Canis lupus familiaris: one gene and its partners. The protein of the gene in region 3 interacts with the protein of the main gene of each other region in a pairwise test. Links are inferred from orthologs where the notes say so. Each region holds a gene or a part of one and is shown on either strand. Other genes may lie near its edges.

Region 1 (4,150 bases), on a different chromosome or scaffold from region 3:
TTCATGCCAAGAGTGTTGCTTACTCTTCACAATGGCATTGAGAGCTGGGTGCCGTTTGGCTACCATTGTGTCATCAGAGTCACTAAAATTGGCAACAGGGGCCAATTCTCGACAGTCCTTAATGGCCTCATCGAGACTTGACTCAGAGGCCTCACTGTAGCAGCAGGTATGCTCTGCCAGGTGAGTGAAGTCTGAACGGCGCTTCCGGCCTCTCCTTTTGCGAAGCTGCCGCCTCTGCTGCCGAGGGCTCAGAGCCATCTCCTCCCACAGCTCACCAAGCTTATTCTGCTCAGATGTCTGCTCCAATGCTGAGGCTAAGTCATGTACCAGCTCATCCATGAGGCCACATCTGCCCAAAGAAAAGTTCAGAAAAAGAAAAAGAAAACCTGAATAGGATCTGTTGTTTTAAGGTAAGTTTATAAAATACATCACAAGACTGCAGAGCCTACCTGACTTACAGAAAATAAAATCACCTTTCAACTGGCTACACTTAAGATTGTTCCTACCATCCTTGCTCCCTTAAGCCACTAAAAATAGGTGTTTGGCCCTTGTTAGGAACCTCAAGTCAATATGTTCTTAAAGCACAAGAAAGCAAACTCTCACCAGATCACAAGTAAAATACTAGCAAAAACAAGCAAACCTTGGGAAATAAATCGCCCCTTCCCTTTTTCCCCAATTAAATTTGTCACTAAAATATCTGATGATAAAATCCAAAAAGATTAGAGAAAGTCTCATTAGACAGGAACAGAAAAACACACAACTTTAAAATCATGGTTAAAGAACTGCTCCATGGTCTGGGGTCCCTGATAAGAATGCTGCTAAAGAGAGGAGAAAGACAACTTAGTAACACACTTTAAGGATCACTGCTTGCAGTTTTAGTGATCCAAGAAATTGTAGTAACCCAGATTTGTATTCTGAATGGAAAAAAGAGACTAAGTCTGTATCTATTCTGGTCCCAACTACCACCTGGAAGCTAGGAGTAAAGGAAATTTATCGGATATATTGTATATTTTTTAACAATTAGCAACTTCTAAGTTCTTCTCCCAACCTTCAGAAAATTAAGTGATCATCCTAATTATGTGCTTTAGTATCAATCACACAAAAAGAGGATATAGCTAAGGCTGAAATGACAGGGATTGATGGAGTCCCTAAAATTTCTAGCTAACTGCTTTCTAAATTCTATTTTTGCATTCATTCTTGTCAAACCGTCATACATCAGGGGTCACTTCAGAGGCAAACCTTCCAAGGGATGCGGGCAGTAGGAGCAATTTTCAAAACGCCCTTTAAGAGGGAAATGTCCAATATAATTTGTACAACACCTTATTAAATACGTATTAAATTAACACCTCTTCCCTAGCCCTTGTGAAGCCTAGAGTATTTCAAGTCCATAACTAGAATTTAAAACTGTGTGGCGCCACTCGGAGGCCCTATTTCCGTTCATGCAGCTTACATTCTGCAAAGGGCTTTCTAAAACCTATTTTCTCGCTGTCCCCATGCCAACGAATTCAAAGGCAAGAAAAACTGGTGGGCTGGCTTATCTGCCACATGGACGGGAGCCGTGGGGACACCTAGTTCCAAAACTACCAACCACACAAAACGTCTCATCGTGTCAAAAGCCACACAACACAAAATGACCACTGTCCCTTTACTCAATACAAAGTCAGCCTAAAACGCCCTGAATGGGGTTTGGGAGACAACTACCCCTGAAACCAAAACAGATGTGGGGACGGCACATCCAAACCTACTTCCTTAATAAAGAAATAATGCTTTAAAAAATGGGGCAGAACTGTACGCTTTGGGGGACCCCTGGGTTGGCTCAGTGGTTTAGCACCACCTTCAGCCCAGGGCGTGATCCTGGGGACCCGGGATCGAGTCCCACGTCGGGCTCCCTGCATGGAGCCTGCTTCTCCCTCGGCCTGTGTCTCTGCCTCTGTCTCTCTCTGTGCCTTTCATGAATAAATAAATAAAAATCTTAAAAAAAAAAAAAGAACTGTACACTTTAACGTGGAACAAAGTTACAGAACTTGCAGCTGTTTGAGCAAAAATCCCTTCCTAGCCGAAGGGCTGCAATTCCAAGAGCTGGGGACACTACCCTGAGCTTCGCACACCTTCAGTCCTCAGGTGCGCGCTCCAAGACGACCCCCTTGTCCAGCTAGCTCTCGAGGAGAGGAAAGGCTAAGTCACGCAAACACAAGGCCGGGAGACGGAGAGGAGTAAAAAGAGGCAGGCGCACGGTCGCGGCGAAGGCCGGGGGGCGGCAGGAAGCAACTTCTCATTTGGGCTCACCCGGGCAGGGGGGTCGGCCCTTCTCCGGCACAAACTGCCAAAAAAAAAAAAAAAAAAAAAAAAGCAAGTGGTGGCGACTACGCTCCCTCCGTGACCCAGGGTCGCAACATGGCCACATATGTGAGGAAGAGCTGGGTTGGAAGGACCCCCCCCCCCCACGCCCCGGCCCGCCCCCGAAGACGAAAGCGAACGCGGCTTGGGACACGGAGCTCACACCCTGTCGGCCTGCCCAAAAGAGCCAGAAAGAATAAAGGAGAAGAGGGGACTGCCGCCCCGGAGACGCCCGAACCTCACTCCCCGGGATGGGGGCGATGGGCCCTGGAAAACAAGGCCCAGCCACCCCCGCCCCTCCCGCCAACCTCCGGAGCCCCGCGGCGGCCACGGCCCCCGCCCCGGCCTCCGCCCGGAGCCCCGATCCCCGCTGGCGCCGGCCCCCTGGACCCCGACCCTCTCGACCCACTCCGCCCCCTCACCAGCTGCCGCAGCCACCTCCAATGGCCGCCGCTTTTGGGGCCGAGTCTCCCCGCCGGGGTTTCCCTTTCTGACCTCATTTCCGGTCTGGGCCGGAGGGGTGGGGCAGCGGTGGAGTGGGAGGGGCTGGCTGCTCTAGAGGGCCCGCCCCCGCCCGGCGCTTCCGGTCCGTGGCCGCGCCCACTTCCGCCCCGCGGTGGGCGGGGCCTTGGAGACGCCGGGAGCGGGGGCTGGGGGCCTCAAGGGGCGGTGGTTCCGGGCGGGCGGGCGCGCTAAGGGGCGAGGTCCGCGCCTGGGGCAGATCAGCCCTCCCCAGGCTGGCCTCACCTGCCTTGGGGACGTCAAGACATTGGGCAGTAGGGAGGGACCACGGCCTCGCCCTTGTTTGCTGACCTACTTTTACAAAGGGTGTGTGAAATTGAGAAATGCATCCTCATTCTTAACTGTGAGAGTGGGTCCAACTATAAGCCGGTACCTTTGCAGTGAATCAGTCTTACAGGTACAAATGCCTCGAGCAACAAGGCAGGTACTATTGGATTATAAATCTTAAGTATACAATTGATACCCATGAGTCTGTACTGACATGAGTAAACTAATGAGATGAATACTGACATGAACAAAGTAATAAATGGGGAAGGGGGATAAATCTCTGGTGCAGAAGAATTGTGAAGAATTTATGTAGATAATTCACCCTGAAGTATAACTCCCAGCTCCTTGAATGTGGGCTGTGTGTATGGAAGGTGGGGAAATGAGTATGGTGGAGAAATTAGACAAGCACTACCTCAGCCAGGTGACCAAGGTTAACATGAACAGTGATAAATCATGTGGACCCTATGTAGGCTGGATATGACATGATGGAAGTGGCATTTTATGTCTAAGATACTTTCCTTCCAGTACGCCCACTCTAATCAAGAGAAAAAAAAAATCCAACAACTCCAACTGGGGGACATTGTACAGAATGCTTGACCAATATTCCTCAAAATTGTTAAAGGAAAAAAGTCAAGCAAAGTCTGAGAAGTTGTCATAGCCAACAGGAGCCTAAGGAAATGTGACAGCTAAATGTAGTGTGGTATCCTAGATGGGAGACTGGAACAGGAAAAGGACATTGGGTAAAAACTAAGGAAACTTGGATGAACAATGGACTTCAGTTAATAATATTATCTCAGTGTTGGTTCATTAATTGTGACAAATGTTCTATATCAATGTAAGATGTTAATAATAGGGGAAACTGGGTATGATGTAGACAGGAATGGTCTGTAGTAGCACCTTTGTAATTTTTCTGCATACCTAAAACTAGTCTAAAATAAGGTCATTTTTTTAAAATGCACATACCTTTTGACCCCGAAATTCTGCCTCTAGGGAATTTTTTTCTGAAGAAAAATTGGAAATAGGA
Region 2 (4,372 bases), on a different chromosome or scaffold from region 3:
CGCCAACAGAAGTCTCAGGATGAGCAGTTGAGATTTTGCCAAAATCAAGATGCCAGTGATGGCAAGCTCTGGCTCACCATTTTGTGATTATGATCTGAAGGTGCACCTGCAACGTTCATAGCAGCCATGTCCATAATAGCCAAACTGCAAGCAGCCACAAGGTCCTTTGACAGATGAATGGAAAAAGATGTGGTATATATACAACGGATATTACTCAGGTATCAGAAAGGATGAATACCTACCATTTACATGGACATGAATGGAACTGGAGGATATGATACTGAATGAAATAAGTCAGTTGAAGAAAGACAACTATCATATGGTTTCACTCATATTTGGAAAATAAGAAACAAAACAGGATCATAGAAAAAGGAGGGAAAAATGAAATAAGATAAAATCAGAGAGGGAGACAAACCTTAAAAGAGTCTTAATCACAGGAAACAAACTGAAGGTCGTTGTAAGGGAGGGGGTCAGGAGATGGGTCACTGGGGGATGGACATGAAGGAGGGCACGATGGGAGGAGCACTGGGGTTATATAAAACCTTGGCACAGTCATTTCCGGGCGGCGCGGGACGGAGTGGCCAACGGCCTGCAGAGCAACATGCCTAAGTTTTATTGTGACTACTGCGACACATACCTCACCCATGACTCTCCATCTGTGAGAAAGACACACTGCAGTGGTAGGAAACACAAAGAGAATGTGAAAGACTACTATCAGAAATGGATGGAAGAGCAGGCTCAGAGCCTGATCGACAAAACAACTGCTGCATTTCAACAAGGAAAGATACCTCCTACTCCATTCTCTGCTCCTCCTCCTGCAGGGGCAATGATCCCACCTCCCCCCAGTCTCCCGGGTCCTCCTCGCCCTGGTATGATGCCAGCCCCCCATATGGGGGGCCCTCCCATGATGCCAATGATGGGCCCTCCTCCTCCTGGGATGATGCCAGTGGGACCTGCTCCTGGAATGAGGCCACCTATGGGAGGCCATATGCCAATGATGCCTGGGCCCCCAATGATGAGACCTCCTGCTCGTCCCATGATGGTGCCCACTCGGCCAGGAATGACTCGACCAGACAGATAAGGAGAGACAGGAACCTCTTTATATTCATTTTATATTACTTGTTCTACTTCACCAGGAGATCATGGTGCTGTGACTCTGGGTGTTTTCTAACAGCATGACAAGGAAGACTTGCTTCCCCTTCCTATTGAGAATAGTTTTTGCAGGGGAGTAGTGAGACAAAAAAAAAGGCAATTTTCATTTGTATTGTGAAATGTGAAAATAAAATTGTCAACTGTTTTAGTTAAAAAAAAAAAAAAAAAAAAAAAAAAATAAAACCTTGGCACATGCATGAATAAAGTGAAAGGGAACGATGCCTGATGGGGAGCTGATTTACAGTGGCATAGGAAGATGCATCTAGATGCCAGTTGAGGAGAGTGACCAATGGGCAGCCAGTAAGGAGCTGGGACCCAGTGTTCCGTGGCCGAGGGGTTGAGGCCGAGGGGGAGGGAGAAGTGGCTCACAGAGATAAGCAGGGCCCTGGTGTGCCTCTGCCTGGGCTAGGGAGATAGCAAGGCCAAGGCCCTGGACTGCTGCAGGACGTACAGCATGGCCTCAGAATGGGGCAAGCACCCTCCAGGGAAGGGAGAGATCAGATCCGCAGGCTGGGAATCACACGCTTGCTTCCATACCAACAAGTAAAAGAGCAGGTGCTCAGACCGCCGGCGTCGAGTCCGTAGGTGAGGTCCCCACCCCTCCTCCGCAGAGTTGGAAGCAAGGGAGAGAAGCCGGGCGGGGTTGGGGGTGAGGCGGGGCGGTGGAGGCGGGGGTGGGGGCGGGGGCGGGGACGAGGACGCCGGCCGAAGTGTAGGCGGAAGGCGGTGGCACGCCCCACCCTCTCCACTGCACCCTTGAAGCCACTGCTTTCGCTTCGAATTCCTGCCCCACCCCGCAGGAGGGGCGGGGGCCCGGCGGGTTCTAGGGCTCGAGACCCCGAACCCGCTCTCTGGCCCCCGCCGCACCTGGACCCCCGACCACCCCGAGGGCCCGGAGCAGGTGAGTGTCTGGCGCCCAGCCCCGCCCCACGGGCTTCCGACCCCGCGCGGCCTGGGAGCGCCTGGTCTGAGGATGGCGGCCGGGATGCGCCGGGTCGCCGGAGACCCCCACGGCAACGGTGGGGGACCCGAGTGCCCCAGTGCGGCCACGAGGAGGGAGAGAGCCGCAGCGCGTGGGGCCCAGCTCTTGCAACCTCTGCTTTCCTTTCTGTGCAATGGGCACAATAGTGCTGCCCTGTTTCGGGGTGTTTTAGGGAAAGCTCCTCGGCCATCGCAGGCGCTTCGGAAACGGTCGTGAGTTTTTGCAAATACCCCCCTCTCCGCGAGTACGTGCTTGCGAAAGACCTTCCGGGTTCAGGAAGCAAAATGAGGCCACGTTGGGGGCAGGGAGCCCTACTTCATGCGGAGCCTCTGGCGCGCCCCCGTCGGCCGCAGGCCCCCGCCCACCCGGACCCATCCAGGCAGGGGGCGGGCCGGGGGGGGCCGGGGGCGCCAGCCTGGGGGTCTGGCCCCGGGGCCCAACTAGGCCTTCGCGGGAGCGCGCCCCGCCCGCCCGCCCGCGGATTCGTCCGTTCGGCCCCGGCCGCCCCGCCCCCTGCGGAGGCCCGCGGATTTGCCTGGTGATCGGTGACGTAGTGCCCGTCTCGAGCTGCCATTGGGCGGTGGCGTGCGGACTCGGCCAATCGGGACGCGGATCCGGGAGAAATCTCGGAGCGGACCTCGGGGAGCCGGGAGGCAGAGCCGAGGGGACGCGACCCCAGCTGGCTGCCGCGGGGGAGCAGCGCCCCCGGCCGGGAGCTCGCGGCCCAGAGCGGGCAGTGCGGTGAGTCGCGGGGCCGGGGGCCGGGGCGGGGCGCTGGGGTTCTGGGCGCCCGCCCTGGCTTCCCCGCCCTGGCTTCCCCGCCCTGACCTTCCCGCCCGGAGCGCCGGCAGGTGTCCGCCGTGCTCAGGGGGCGAGCAGGGCTGGGGCGCGTAGTACCGGGGGCGCCCTCCTGCCTGGGGCCGAGCAGCGCGCGGGAGGCGCACCCTGCAGAGCCCCACTGCCCCCGGCCGTGACCCCCGATGGCCAGGGTCCTCCCGGAACCCGTGGCGCGGCCCGGCCTTGTAGGGGCTGCATGCCGAGCCCCGGGTGCGCTCCCCGCACCGTCTTCAGAACGGGCTGCCTGGGTCTTGTGCCGCGATCCTTCTGAGTAGACTGTTTCTACTTCGGGTTTACGGACAGAATTGCGAGGACAGTAGAGTTCCCCAAGCCCCTTATCCCGTATTACACGTTACCTTACTTCAGACATCTGTCACAGCTAACGAACCCCTGCTGTTGTGTGACTATTGCCGATAGTTGTTGGGATTCACCGAGTTTTCAGCTAGGCACTGGTTCCGTGTCAGGATCCCGGCCAGGTTACCAGGTTCCATGGGGTCAGCATGCCCTCCTATGGTCCCCTTGGCTTGGCACTTCATCCGCTGAGGCTTGTTCTGGGGGATCCTGAGAGTTTGGAGGAATGCTGGTCATGCGGGCTGTGAGATGCCTCTGTCCTGGATGTTCTTCTCCTAAGCCCACCCCAGGTAGGTGGCCCTGCTCCTGGCATGGCAGCAAGGGTACATACTGTCAGCACGGCCTGTGACTGGACACTGGTGGTGGTCACCTGATGTAGTGCTTGCCAGGTGTCTCCACTGTAAAGTTACTCTGTCCCCCCCCCCCCACCCCCCGTTTTCATGCCTACCCTTTGGAGAGAAGTGCCTGTGAAACCCACACCCAAGGAGGGCTAGATTCTCCTTGAGGACAAGTTTTTATGTTTATTATTTGGAATTCTTTGCATGGAGATTAGTCTCTCTTGTCCTTTATTGATTGACTTATTCAGCCCTTTATTATCAGCACATACTCGTGGGTATTGATGTGATACTTTGGGTGATAATCCAATATTACTCTATGCTGTTGCTCATTGCTCAAGTTGTAGCCTTGATGATTGGAAGCTCTTACATGTTGGCTCCATTTCTTCCTAGCATGAGTGTCTGTAGAGCTCTTTGCTGTTGAAAGCACTTGTGGGGCTTCACATGAACCTCACACAGTGTGATGAGCCTGACAAGATATAGTTATTTCTGTCCTTAAGGGGTAAGGACACTGAGGCCCAGGAGCACTGGATGACTTCTTACATGTCAGTTTCCTACATGGGAGCAATGGGCTGGTCTCAGATGAGGGCTGGTCACCCCAGAAAACATTGCAAACCACAGCGGAAGTCCAGAGTCCAAACAGTTTTCTGAGGAGACTTCAGACTTAGACCTGGGGATCAGAACAGGAAGACAATGGCTTTGGAAAGTAAAGGCT
Region 3 (3,645 bases):
AGGCAGTATTTGTTTACTCAGAACATATTTTCATTTCAAATATATAACTAAAACTTCTCACGTCAGAACACAACTCATAGTTTGAACAGAAACTTCAGTGTTTAAATCTCAACGTTCAATAACAAACACTACATATTAGGTTGCTTTGGAATACAAATCACTCGGTTAAATAAATGGGATATAATTTCTAACTTGTGTTAAAAGTGAAGAAATCCTTTTTTATGTGAAGATGTGACCAAAATCAATTGGTCATATTACAGTAGAAATCAAACTCTACTGACACAACACATTTGTTAGAGATTTGTATACAGATATAACAACAGTTGGGAACTAGATGCTCCTTAAGCTTGGGGGTAATGAAAGAAAAAGGCATACTATGGATCAGGCCCCCATTTTTATTACTTGTTTAATAACAATGCCTACTTTATTGAAGAATGTCTCTTCCACTGGAAATACACTTCTGGTTTAATAATGTTAGTGGGGAAAAAAGGCAGACCCACTTTTAAAGAATGATTCATCCTTATTTACCTACATTGACTAGGTATAGAATGACTCTTCATTTTCTGCTCTGAAGATAACCAATTTATTTTTTGAAGTTTTGACTTGTCAACTTATTTTTGATAAGTGATTAAGAAAGATAAATCTTCTGACTTTACAAATAAGAATATGTGAATAAGAATATATATATTTTCTGAGAAGTTACATCTCGTGATCTGACCTATACTTCTGACTTACAATGTAACTAAATTCCTTTAATAACCTGCATTAATTTTAAATTTTAAACTTAAATTGTCCTTGTTATACTGTTCACATTCACTTTATTTCTCATTTTTACATTTCTATAAATACCCAAAAAACAAAACTCCTCAATTTGAAACCAACTTATATTGGAGTTCTGAGGTTAGTCTTTAACTTTTAAGATATTTTGTTAAAATGTAAAAACCCTGAAATTAGAAACAAAAATTTTACAATTTTACAGTATATATCTAATTTATTTAAAAAAATATTCTGAATTGTTTTTATACAAGTAATCAAGTGTTATTTTTTCAAATGAAACTCCTTTATAGGCTAGAAGAGGATGTGTGGTGTTGCCCCATTAAAAGCCAATACAAATATCTTTTTTTTTTTATGCTGGCACTTCAACTATTTCAAAATAGTCATTCGGCAAAATCACATAACCTCTTTCTGATATGTCGTCCTTCTCTTTCTGGAAGTGAACAACCTCCTTTAATTTTTCAAGCTGTCGTTCTTGTCTTCTGCATCTCTGCTGTGCAGTCTTGAGCTTCTTTCGGAGTTTTTCAACTTGTTGTTCTAGCTGATGAATCCTTTTTCTCTGGTGCATTGTATCCTCCACAGTATAGTTGTGGTCACAGAAAACTGAGAGATTATCAGGGGTCTGAAGAGGAGGCATTAGTAATCCAATAGCAGCATCAACCTGGGAAATGGGAGGTGTTAAAGGAGGTGGGGGAAGCTGTTCTTGTGGCTCCAGAAGATCTTCCTTCTACAACAATAATGCAAAGTAGGTTCAAGTTTAGTAACTACAAATAACAATTTAAAAGAACCCCTGTGGAATTTAAGAATGACATTTTTATAAGTTGGACAACCTAGAAGAAAAGGTTAAATTTTTAGAAACACACACTCTTCCAAAACAGGAAGAAATAGAAAGTATAAATAAACCAATCACTAGTAATGAAATTGAAAAGGTAATCAAAAAAGTCCAGGACCAGATGGTGATTCTATCAAACACTTAAAGAGTTAATACCTATTCTCCTCAAAATATTCTAAAAGACAGAAGAGAAAGGAAAGCTTCCAAATACATTCTGTTAGGTGAACAATACCCTAATACCAAAAACAAAGACACTGAAGAAAACTACAGGCCAAAATCCCTGATGAACAAAGATGCAAAAATCCTCAACAAAAATACAGGCATATTTGACAATACATTAAACACTCAACAATACACTAAAAGGATCATTCACCACTATCAGGTGGGATTTATTCCAGGGATGCAAGGATGGTTCAATATTCATAAATCAATATGAAACACTACATTAACAAAGGGTAAAAATCACACGATCATCTCAATAAATGCAGAAAAAGCATTTGACAAAATTCAACATCCTTTCAATGACAAAGTCTCAAAAAAGCTGGCTTAGAGGGAAAATACCTCAAAATAATAAAGGCCATATATGAAAAACCCACAGCTAACATTACACTCAGTAGTGAAAACTGAGAGTTTTTCCTCTAAGATCAAAAGCAAGACAAGATGTCCACTCTTGCTATTTTCATTCAACATAGTACTGTAAGTCCGAGCCATAGCAGTCAGACAAGAAAAAGAAATAAAAGGCATCCAAATTGGTAAGAAAGAAGTAAAACTATCACTATTTGCAGATGACATGATACTATACAAAGAAAATGCTAAAGACTGCAACAAAAAACTATTAGAGGTAATAAGTAAAGTTGCAGGATACAAAATTAATATATGGAAATCAGTTGTGTTTCTATACACTAATAATGAAGTAGCAGGAAGAGAAATTAAGAAAATAATTCCATTTATAATTACACCAAAAAGAATGAAACACCTAGGAATAAATTTAACTGAGGTGAAAGACCTATGCTCTAAAAACTACAGAACACTGATGAAACAAATTGAAGATGACACAAATAAATGGAAAGATATATCATTTTTATGGACTGGAAGAATTAACATTGTTAAAATGTCCATACTACCCAAAGCAATCTATAGGCTCAATGCAATCCCTATGAAAATACCAACAACATTTTTCACAGAACTAGAACAAATAATGTTAAAATTTTGTACAGAACCCACAAAAGACTCCAAACAGCCAAAGCACACTTGAGAAACAACAAAGCGGGAGGTATCATAATCCCAATTTTGAGATATACTACAAAGCTGTAGTAATCAAAAGTGGCACAAAAACAAGACACATAGGTCCATGGAATAGAACAGAAAGCCCAGAAATAAACCCATGCTTATATGGTTAATTAATTAATCTACAACAGAGGAAATAAGAATATCTATTAGGTAAAAGACTCTTCAATAAATGGTGCTGGAGAAACTGTACAGTTACATGAAAAAAAAAAAAAGAAACTGGACTTTTTTTTTTTACACCATATACAACACTAAACTCAAAATGGATTAAAAACTTAAATGGGAGGGACGCCAGGGTAGCTCAGCAGTTGAGCATCTGCCTTTGGCTCAGGGCGTGATCCTGGGATCAAGTCCTACATCAGGCTCCTTGCATGGAGCCTGCCTCTCTCGCTATGTCTCTCATGAATAAATGAAATCTTAAAAAAACAAAACAAAACAAAACAAAAAAACACCAACAAAAACTTAACTGGGAGACCTGAGACCATAAATATCCTAAAAGAAAACATAGTAATTTCTCTGACATCAGCCTTAGAGACATTCTTCTAGATGTGTCTTCTCAGGCAAGGAAAACAAAAGCAAAATAAACAATTGGTACTATACCAAAACAAAAAGCTTTTGCACTGTGCAGGAAACCATCAACAAAATTATAATGCAACCTAGTGCTGGGGTGCCTGGGTGGCTTAGTCAGATAAGTGTCCCACTTTTGATTTTGGCTTAGGTCATGATCTCAAGGCTATGAAGGGGGGCCACAT

What was found.
Region 1: the proteins of THAP1 (region 3) and GPATCH2L interact in binary tests that used the Homo sapiens proteins (3 or more experiments, as listed by UniProt). The two-hybrid records come from large-scale screens. The link is inferred for Canis lupus familiaris from reciprocal best matches to the Homo sapiens genes THAP1 and GPATCH2L.
Region 2: the proteins of THAP1 (region 3) and tripartite motif-containing protein 26 interact in binary tests that used the Homo sapiens proteins (3 or more experiments, as listed by UniProt). The two-hybrid records come from large-scale screens. The link is inferred for Canis lupus familiaris from reciprocal best matches to the Homo sapiens genes THAP1 and TRIM26.

Annotation. Positions count from the first base shown.
Region 1 is NC_049229.1:49,414,662-49,418,811, reverse strand, and holds the start of GPATCH2L (G patch domain-containing protein 2-like), read right to left. Parts: upstream 2,881-4,150; 5' UTR 2,760-2,880; intron 2,593-2,759; exon of another isoform or gene 2,576-2,592; intron 2,321-2,575; exon of another isoform or gene 2,109-2,320; intron 350-2,108; 5' UTR 340-349; coding exon 1-339.
Region 2 is NC_049256.1:27,898,570-27,902,941, reverse strand, and holds the start of tripartite motif-containing protein 26, read left to right. Parts: upstream 1-1,492; 5' UTR 1,493-1,737; intron 1,738-1,870; exon of another isoform or gene 1,871-2,053; intron 2,054-2,727; exon of another isoform or gene 2,728-2,875; intron 2,876-4,372. Other genes in the region: U1 small nuclear ribonucleoprotein C, read left to right, coding at 602-1,081.
Region 3 is NC_049237.1:23,681,935-23,685,579, reverse strand, and holds part of THAP1 (THAP domain-containing protein 1), read right to left. Parts: intron 1,502-3,645; coding exon 1,127-1,501; 3' UTR 1-1,126. UniProt on the Homo sapiens protein: DNA-binding transcription regulator that regulates endothelial cell proliferation and G1/S cell-cycle progression.